Mus musculus: one gene and its partner. The protein of the gene in region 1 interacts with the protein of each later gene in a pairwise test. Links are inferred from orthologs where the notes say so. Each region holds a gene or a part of one and is shown on either strand. Other genes may lie near its edges.

The links.
Region 2: the proteins of Ush1c (region 1) and Ush1g interact in binary tests that used the Homo sapiens proteins (3 or more experiments, as listed by UniProt). The link is inferred for Mus musculus from reciprocal best matches to the Homo sapiens genes USH1C and USH1G.

What each region holds. Positions count from the first base shown.
Region 1 is NC_000073.6:46,235,596-46,239,922, reverse strand, and holds the start of Ush1c (harmonin), read left to right. Parts: upstream 1-1,432; 5' UTR 1,433-1,458; coding exon 1,459-1,494; intron 1,495-2,588; exon of another isoform or gene 2,589-2,648; intron 2,649-4,327. UniProt on the Homo sapiens protein: Anchoring/scaffolding protein that is a part of the functional network formed by USH1C, USH1G, CDH23 and MYO7A that mediates mechanotransduction in cochlear hair cells. Required for normal development and maintenance of cochlear hair cell bundles.
Region 2 is NC_000077.6:115,319,097-115,323,536, reverse strand, and holds the start of Ush1g (Usher syndrome type-1G protein homolog), read left to right. Parts: upstream 1-1,618; 5' UTR 1,619-1,680; coding exon 1,681-1,844; intron 1,845-4,334; coding exon 4,335-4,440. Other genes in the region: proton channel OTOP2, read right to left, coding at 1-118. UniProt on the Homo sapiens protein: Plays a role in pre-mRNA splicing by regulating the release and transfer of U4/U6.U5 tri-small nuclear ribonucleoprotein (tri-snRNP) complexes from their assembly site in Cajal bodies to nuclear speckles, thereby contributing to the assembly of the pre-catalytic spliceosome on target pre-mRNAs.

The DNA of each region.
Region 1 (4,327 bases):
CAACTGTTTATAATTCTAATGCCAGGAACCCTCTTCACAGCCTTCACAGCAGCAGACATGCACACTGTGTGTGTGTGGTTGTGTGTGTGTGTGTGTGTGTGTGTGTGTGTGTGTGTGCAAGCAAACATTCATACGCAAAAATAAAAATAAACTTCAAAAAAGAGAAGAAAAGGGGTTGGAGAGATGGCTCAGTGGTTAAGAACACCGACTGCTCTTCCAGAGGTCCCGAGTTCAAGTCCCAGCAACCACATGGTGGCTTGCAACCATCTGTAATTGGATCTGATGCCCTCTTCTGGTGTGTCTGAAGAGAGCAACGGTGTACTCACATAAAAGAGAAGAAAAAAGAGAATCAAAGGTGTAAATTGAAAGAGGATTGCATCCCATGTGGTCTTTTCTGGACCACTAAATGCCCCATAAGCCTTTCTGTCCAGTTTCTGACTTACTCAGTTAATGACAAAGAATCCTAATTAGCATTAACTGTCTACTTGACATGACCTAGAGTCAGCTGAGAGCAAAGCCTAGGTCTGATTAACCTGTGGACTTGTCCGTGGGGACTGCCTCAAGTATTAATTGATGCAGGAGGCAGTAAAGGAGAGAGGCTGGACTACAGCCTGGCTACTGACTTACAGAAAGCCTATGGTGACCGCAGCATCCCTCTGCAGGTGGTCCTGAGTCTTATAAGCATGCTCGCTAAGCATGAACCTGGGAGCACGAGAGTCAGAGCACGAGAGTGAGCCAGCAGGACACATTGATTCACGCTCCTGTTTGGGTTCCCGCCTTTGCCTCTGTCAGCAATGGAACAGAACCTGGAAGCCTAAGATGGAATAGAGCTCTCCTTCCCCAAGTTGCTTCTGAGCACAGTGTTTTCCACAGCACCAGAGTGGTACTAGATCAGAAGCTGAGAATCCGGATCATTCTCGCAAGTTATTTCCCCAGGCATACAACTTATACTTATACCTTAGTCTAGGCCATAATTTAGCCACCATGAGAATAGGCTGCTTGCTGGCAAATGGCAGAGAGATCTAGAGAAGAGCCTTCTTGTGTCTCTGAAGTTACAACTGTGCCTGCCTCTGCTACACATTCACTTCAAGGCCTGCCTGGGCCACATGAGATGCTCTTTCAGAAAGGAAAAGCAGTCTCAAACTACCCCTGACCCCTACTGCCCTGTGTCTCCTCCATCTTAATGTGTGTGTGGACCACTCTGGAAAACACTGCCAGCCTCACTAACTAAGCCACCATTAGCACATCCACACGACGAGGCTTCTTTTCTTCCAGGGCCGCCCGGCTGAACTGCAGGACAGGTGACCCCGCCTCCGGGCTGTCCCCACCCCTGCTTCTTCCAGGCCCCACCCCTAGCTCTGAGGGAGGCAGGTCCTGTCCTGGCAGCTAACCTGCCAGAGCACCGCAGCCAGGCACCCTAAGAAGTGGAGCTGCAAAGCAACTGGATCAGGCTCAGTCATGGACCGGAAGGTGGCCCGAGAATTCCGACACAAGGTCAGAACTGAGAGGGACAGACAGTGAGGGGGCCACATTGGTTCTTCAAAGTCCTCCAAGACCTAATGTGTTTTCCAGATTACAGGGTCTGTGGAGGCCACAGAAGGTCACTGAAGGACAGGGGACCCAGTGGTGGCCTCCTAGCAGGTCCCAGATGGGGGTAAAGCCATGTCAACAGCTCATCACAGGTCCTGCGCAAGGAAGGGAGCTGTATACACACCCTGCCGCTTGATACCAAGCCCTTTCAGTCTGAAGGGTCTGAGTGCCTAAAGCTCACTCTGGGTGTCCCCTCTCCTCCCTTCCACACAGAGACCCAGAGATGCCCGGAAGCCAGTCACTGTGGAACCACAGAGGCTACAGGGCCAAGAGCTCTGGCCCAACGTCAGGGGTCAGCCAATCACTCATTTAAACGTGTCCTGAGCACTTAGCCATTCCGTGTCAGATCCCGTCTGCACCCTACCATGGCTTGCCCAGTGTGGATGGGAGGCAGGCCTTGGGCACAGAGGTTCGGTAGGGGCCGCAGGGGTGAGAGCTTCCTAAGCACGCGCCGAGATGCTCCTGCCCCCACTCCCAGTCGTGAGAAGTGGCAGAAAATTCAGCAGGGAAGGGGGGGGGCACCTGTTGAATTGTCAAGGGGACCATTTGTGTTCGGTGATGTGCCTTGAGCCCAGAGATGTGTGTGTTTCAGGGTCAGGGCAGGGAGGGGGGGAGACAGCTCAGCTGCAGTTAACATTTGCTGAGTGTCGATTTCAGTCAACCCACTTTAAAGGCTCCTGGCTCCTGTCTGAGCTTAAATTTCTCTTTCCTGGCCTCAGGCTGGGAGTAACGTAAAGTCGGCTTCTCTTTCAATTTCTTGCAGTGGAGTTACCTACACATTATCTCTTTGGAGAGGATCACCCCCAGGGTCCCTGATGCCTGACTTGACTGTACATTCACCTCTATTCTTCCTCTCCCGGTTCTAGAGGGCCTCAGGTCTCTGCATTTCCGTGTCCGGGCTCCTCCTCAGAGTCATTATCTATTAATGTTCTCATGTCACAGCCAGGGCAGGCATCCTAGCGAGCAAGGCCTGGGCTGGACTTTGTGCCCTGTAGTCTCAGACATAGCAACAGCCTTCCTCTCTCGTGCTGCGGATCATCCAGGCACTGAGAGGAAAGGTGAGGTTGAGAGACAGGCGAGCTGGGTGAGATTTACAGCTTTCCAAAGACCCCCTTCCTGAGTGTTTTGGGGAAATTCTCTCCTAAGCAGAAGTTTACAGTCTAACTCTTTAGTTGCTAGAGGTACTGTTTAAGGTAATGTGTTGTCATGGCTGACACTGGGTGACCTCCCTGTGACTCAGGTCCCAAATTTGTGAATTGAGCATACTGTTTAATAACATTATCATGAAGGCTGAATAAGGGGTGTGTGTGTGTGTGTGTGTCCGAGTGTGTGTTATGTAAATTGAACTCTTGGAGAGTCCCAACACTGAGGGTCAACTCTCATCTCTGCCACTCACTGACCTTGAGCGAGCCACTGGATCTCTGAGCTTTTGTTTCCTTCGTTGTGAGGGGGTTGTGCTGTGCTGTGTGTGTGTGTATGTGAGAGACAGGATTAGGTAGGAATTGAGTGTGGATGCTCGGATCCCCAGCCAAAGTCTGTGTGTGTTACTGTAAATGTTCGCTCCAGTTCTTGGTCTGTTCTGGTCCAAAAGCAGTCAACGGCACCTAAAACACTAACTTTCCTTCCCAGATGGAGGGAACGGCCTTGGGATGGAAAGGGCCGGGCCAGGATGACCAGGGACTAAGGTCTCTCCCTGGAGCTGTGTGGAGCATCAGCTTTTCAAAGCAGCCTCTTTGTTCCCAGCTGCCATGCTGAAACCTGGTTATTCATTTGCTCAGAAAACATTTATTGCCTCTCCAGCAATCACACATTTATGAGTAGCTCTGGCGTACCCTGCCCCTGGCCAGTCAATCAGGGAGGGGTGGGGTGAATAAGAGCAGAGGAGTCCCTCCCTCCTAGGATTTGCTATTCGTTCGTTTGTTTGTTTGTTCGTGCGTGTGCGTGTGCGTGTGCGCGTGCGCGTGTGCGTGTGCGTGTGTGTGTGTGCGCGTGTGCGTGTATGCGCGTGCGTGTGCGCGTGCGTGTGCGCGTGCGCGTGCGTGTGCGTGTGTGTGTGTGTGTGTGTGTGTGTGTGTGTGTGTGATAAACACTCTCTGACCTCTTAATCTATACCAGGCAGAGTTTTGGCACCAAGACCAGCCAATCATCGGGAGCATGCCCTGTTGGGGAAGACAGTTACCAAGGAAACCAACAGTATCTGATGATTGGGTGAGGGGCTGAATGCTGGGAGAACAGTAACCCTGAGAGGGGAGAGACCAGCAGGTGGTATGCTATGTCGCCAGGAAGGCCTCTCTAAAGAGGTGACATTTGAACCTAGAAAAAGAGGAAGGTGTCACAGGGCGGATGAGTAGCAGAGAGAATGGCAGAAGCAGAGAGGGAAGCACCTGCCTGCAGTGCGTTAGAATCGCAGGCAGGGCTCTGGGAGGCAATGCAGAGAGGAGAGCGGCGGGTGGGAGTAAGTGGGAGAGGTGTGGACAGTAGTGACTTGGGGTTTTCTTCAGAGTTCAGAGGACTCAGCTAAGGGAGAATGGTTTACGTTTGAATAGGATTGGTCCTGTGGTTCCTGGAGTGGAAAGAGGACTTGACTCTGGATTTGGGATAACTGTCTTCCCTATTAATTGAGGCTGGGAGTGGAGCTGTTAGGCTATGGATAATGGCGGGGTTAAGGACAAAGCCAACCTGAGTCCCTTTGGGGGTGTCTGAAATTTGAGGCACCTTGGATGTAGCTACTGCTGAT
Region 2 (4,440 bases), on another chromosome or scaffold:
GCACGTTGACAGCCAACAGCACCGACAGCAGGCGGCCGCCCTTTTTCCACACCTCACGGGGGCTGGCCCGAGGCCCCGGCAGGCTCTCATTGGGATGCGGGACCAGTTCCTCCGACATGGTGGGGGCGACTGGAGGAGGTTGAAGGGATCACTGCGAGGTCCGAAGTCGGGGCGGGGGGGGGGCAAGGACAGGATTCTAAGTCAACTCAGGGGGCTCTCCTTTCCTCCCATGTGATCCCTGGATTTGGGGACCCCGGAATGTGGGGACTAAGGGTGCTGGACCAAGCACTGGGGAAAACGAGAAAATCTGAAAGCTGTACCTTCCCTACCTGGCCTGGAAATATTGTACAGAGAGAAGAAGAAGCGGCCCTAGGCTGAATCCTTTACAAAGTCCCACTCCCCAAATCTGACAGTCCCCTGGCCAGGGACACGCACCTGGCTGCACCGGGAGCCGACACCAAGTTGGGGGTCAAGGGGCAGCAAGCGTCTCCTCTCTCCCACGCCGGGCTGGACCGGTGCTTTATACCGGAGAGGGCAGAGTGATTTACAGCCACAAGAGTTCGGCTCCATAAACCTCTCAGTCCCACTCACATGATCCATCTTTTCTCCGAGCTGAATTTAGGGAAGCCAGATAAGGTGAGATTTATATTTACCTGTTAAGATTCCCTTACCCTGTCGCGCTGGTGCTGCCAGGGTTCGGGCACGGCCCCATATTGCCGTACACAGAGGGTCCTCTGCCCCCCAGCGCCCACTGTAACCTGGTGCTCAGAGATCACACCCACCCAAAGACTGCAGAGCTGACCCCCACCCCCGTTGCCCGCTTGCACCTAGACTCCGTCGCAGCTCAGGAACTGGACGGAATTTTGGATCTTGCTTGCTGTCCCGAGATCGGGACAACAGTTCCTCTTTTCCCACCTGCCCTCAGAGTGATCCGAATTCGGTCTTCCTGTATCCCTACTACTGCTGCCCAGAGATGCTGGTTGGATGCTGCAAAGTCTGGTTCCCACGCGGTGCCCTCAATCGGGCTGCAGTCGTCTAGCGCCCCCTGCTGGAGAACTGTTGTTTGACACCCCCCCCCCCCCCACGAGTGTAGGCTGACCGCAGGACTGCTGCGCCCTGCTTGCGGATGAAGGTCTTGCGGTGGGTCCTCCTGCTCCTCTGGACCCACTGTCCTCCAGATCAGAATTGCCTCTCCATCCCACCCTCACACATTATTCGTCAGCTTTTCACCTGTCCTTTTGACTGGTGAAGAAATCAGGGAACCCAGCACCCGGAGTTCTGTCTAGGCCGTATTAAATGTCCCTATATTGGGCTTCAAGGGCTGCAACGCCAGAGTGGGCGCTTTTGGAGCGAGAGAACTGAATTTCACTTGAGTCACGTCTGTGTGCTGAAGAGCATGGCGTTTAGGACCCAGGGGAAGCTCCTGGGCGGCTCCCTGGGCAGTGAGAGATTTCCCCCCTCCCTTCCCCGGTGTGCAGCTCAGATGTCCCGGTAGTCTGTAGTCGTCTGTAGTCGCGGCTCTGGCGCTCCGCATCCACCATCTGCGGCAGCAGGGGCAGGCGGCCCAGGCCCCAGCCCAGCCCCTTCCCTCAACCTCATGCCTCAGCCCTAACCCGGCAGTCCTCCCCGTCCGGGGACAATTCTCGGTGCCCCTTGCCCGTCCCGTCCAACTTGGGCGCCATGAATGACCAGTATCACCGGGCCGCCAGGGATGGCTATCTGGAACTCCTCAAGGAGGCCACCCGGAAGGAGCTGAATGCCCCTGACGAGGATGGCATGACCCCGACTCTCTGGGCTGCCTACCATGGCAACCTGGAGTCTCTGCGCCTCATTGTGAGCCGCGGGTGAGTATGCCCTCTGCCTAGCCAGGAAAACCAGGAAGAACTTCCTGGAACCCGGTGTCCCAAACCTCATGGCATCACTTACCCTCTTGCCTGAGCTGCCCTTTCCCCCTACGGACAGACCCTAAGGTGGGGCCGTGCAGCCTGCTGTACTTAGAGAGACACAGGTGGAAGGGACATAAACTGAGCTTGTGACAGTTGTGGACTGGATGCAGGGATTAGAGGAGAGGAACTTCGATTTGGGGATCGGACCCATGATTATGGGATGGGGGCTGCAGAGGTATTCAAAAATCAGACACTTTGGGGGGGGGAGGGTGCCTGGAAGCAAGAGTGAAAGGTAGGTGGGAACCAGAGAGAAGGCTGGGAAATCTCCAGGGGCCTTGAACTGGGGAGGCCAGGAAGGAAAGACCTTCGCTGCCTACTTCCCAGTCTAGCAGCCAGAAAGGCTGTCCCTACAACTCCGCTAGCTCCCACGGACCGGGCTTCACCCTGACCTGTGCCTTCCTATCACTCTTCTGGGGTTTACAGGCACTGTCCACACTACCAAATGTCACTGGTTCCGCCACTGATTAACTCTCTGTATCCCTCCCCCTCTGCAGGACTCAGGAGTGGGGAACTGTAGTGTGTAGAAAGGACATCTGCCCTCCACCCCATCCTCTCTCTGGCGTTGTCCTGGGAGGGAGGGTGGGCACAGAGTCCAGGGGTCTGGAGGAGGAGTCAGGCAACGTAGATTCAGGGTCACTAAAGTGGTTTGGGGTGGGGGAAGGGGACTAAATCACATTACTGGAAATATCCTACCCACCAACAGTTTAGTAGGACTGGTGTGGCCTAGACAGGAAAAGGATGTCTCAAGAGGTCTCATGTGAACGTCTCAGGCTCTATCTAGGGGTCAAGGTCAGAGGCAGGGATTGTGCTGATCATGGAATTGGAGGGGACCCTGGATATGTAGGGACATGGTCCCCTCTTCTTCTGTGTCTGCTCCTTCGGTCTAGCAGCATGTGGGGACAGTGTGGAATGGTACAGCTGAGACAGAGCCCTACTCCAGGAGGGCAAACACTGCTACTATATCCCCTGCCCCTTCCATCATAGAGGCTCATGGGAGTCTCGTGCAGGAGCAAGGAGGGAGGTATGGAAGGAAAGAGAGCTGTCCAAAGCTCTGAGGTTCTAGAGACTTGGTAATCAGAGGGGGAAGCTGCGGGGAGGGGCGGTGTTGAGATAAGGGAGTGATTCTTCCCCCAGACCTGAGCTGGCCTTGTGGCCTCATTGGTGTGGGGCAGGGCCCCGTGCTAAACCCCGAGAGAGGCAAGATTCCCACGGAAGCCAGCAGAGTTGGGTGGGCTGGAGTCAGATGTGGAGGGCATTAGAGAGGGAGGGGGCAAAGCTCCGTAGGGCAGCCTGAACTAGGGAGAGCAGCGTGGCCAGGTCGCCGCCCTCTTCCTCTCTAGTTCTGGCTGTCCCCACAGTCCCCTTCTGGCTCAGGCCAAGACCCGACACCTGCTCTAACACTGGCATTGCCAGGCCTGGCCCCGCTCCCTGCAGACATGGCGGTGCCCACTGTGTACCAGCGCGCACCCTCTCACGTTCTCCCAGGCTTAAGCCTAACGTACACACACACACACCACCCTCTAGTTCTCTGACACAGTCACCCTGTAACATGTGGCTTCACAGGCCACCGCACCTGCCTAGAGACCCAGACTCAGGCCTGGCCCACCACCACTCTGGGCCAGCTCCCCGCAGGGCCCATGAATAATTCACTCCTTTCTCTCAGCGCATCAAATATTTATCCCCTGAGATTCCCAGCCTCAGTTCTCTAGGGGAAGGCCCGCCCCACCCCGCCTCCTAGGTAGCCCCGCCCCTTTGTGGGTTAGCTCTCTCAGTCTTTCTGTCTCTCTGTCTCTCTGTCTCTCTGTCTCTCTCTCTCTCTCTCTCTCTCTCTCTCTCTCTCTCTCTCTCTCTCTCTCTCACACACACACACACACACAGAGTTTTTGGTAATCCTGAAGCATCTGTTGACTCAAGCCTGCTGGTCTGGAAATCTAGGTCTCAGCCCCATGGGTTTATTTTAGGGTAGTGGTTTTCAATCTTCCTAACGCTACGACCCTTTAAATGCTAAGACTCTTTAATACAGTTTCCCCATGTTGATCACCAACCATAAAATTATTTTGTTGTTACTTCATAACTAATTTTGCTACTGTTATGAATCATAATGTAAAATATGAGATACAGGGTCATGATCCATAGGTTAAGAACTTCCGCTTTAGTGGCTGCTACATTCCAGGTCCAGGGGTTTGCCTTCTTTTCCTTCTTCTCCTCCTTCTCCTTCTTCTCCTTCTCTTTCTCCTTCTCCTCCTTCTCCTTCTCCTTCCCCTTCTTCATCTCCTCCTCCTTCTCCTCCTTCTCCCCCTCCCCCTCCCCTCCACAATATTCCAATTAGACCCCAGGTCTGGCTTGCTAAAGGGACTCATCCTACCTTTCCATCTGCTGTCCCTACAGGGGTGACCCGGATAAGTGTGACATCTGGGGAAACACACCCTTGCATCTGGCAGCTTCCAATGGTCACCTGCACTGCCTGTCCTTCCTCGTCTCCTTCGGGGCCAAC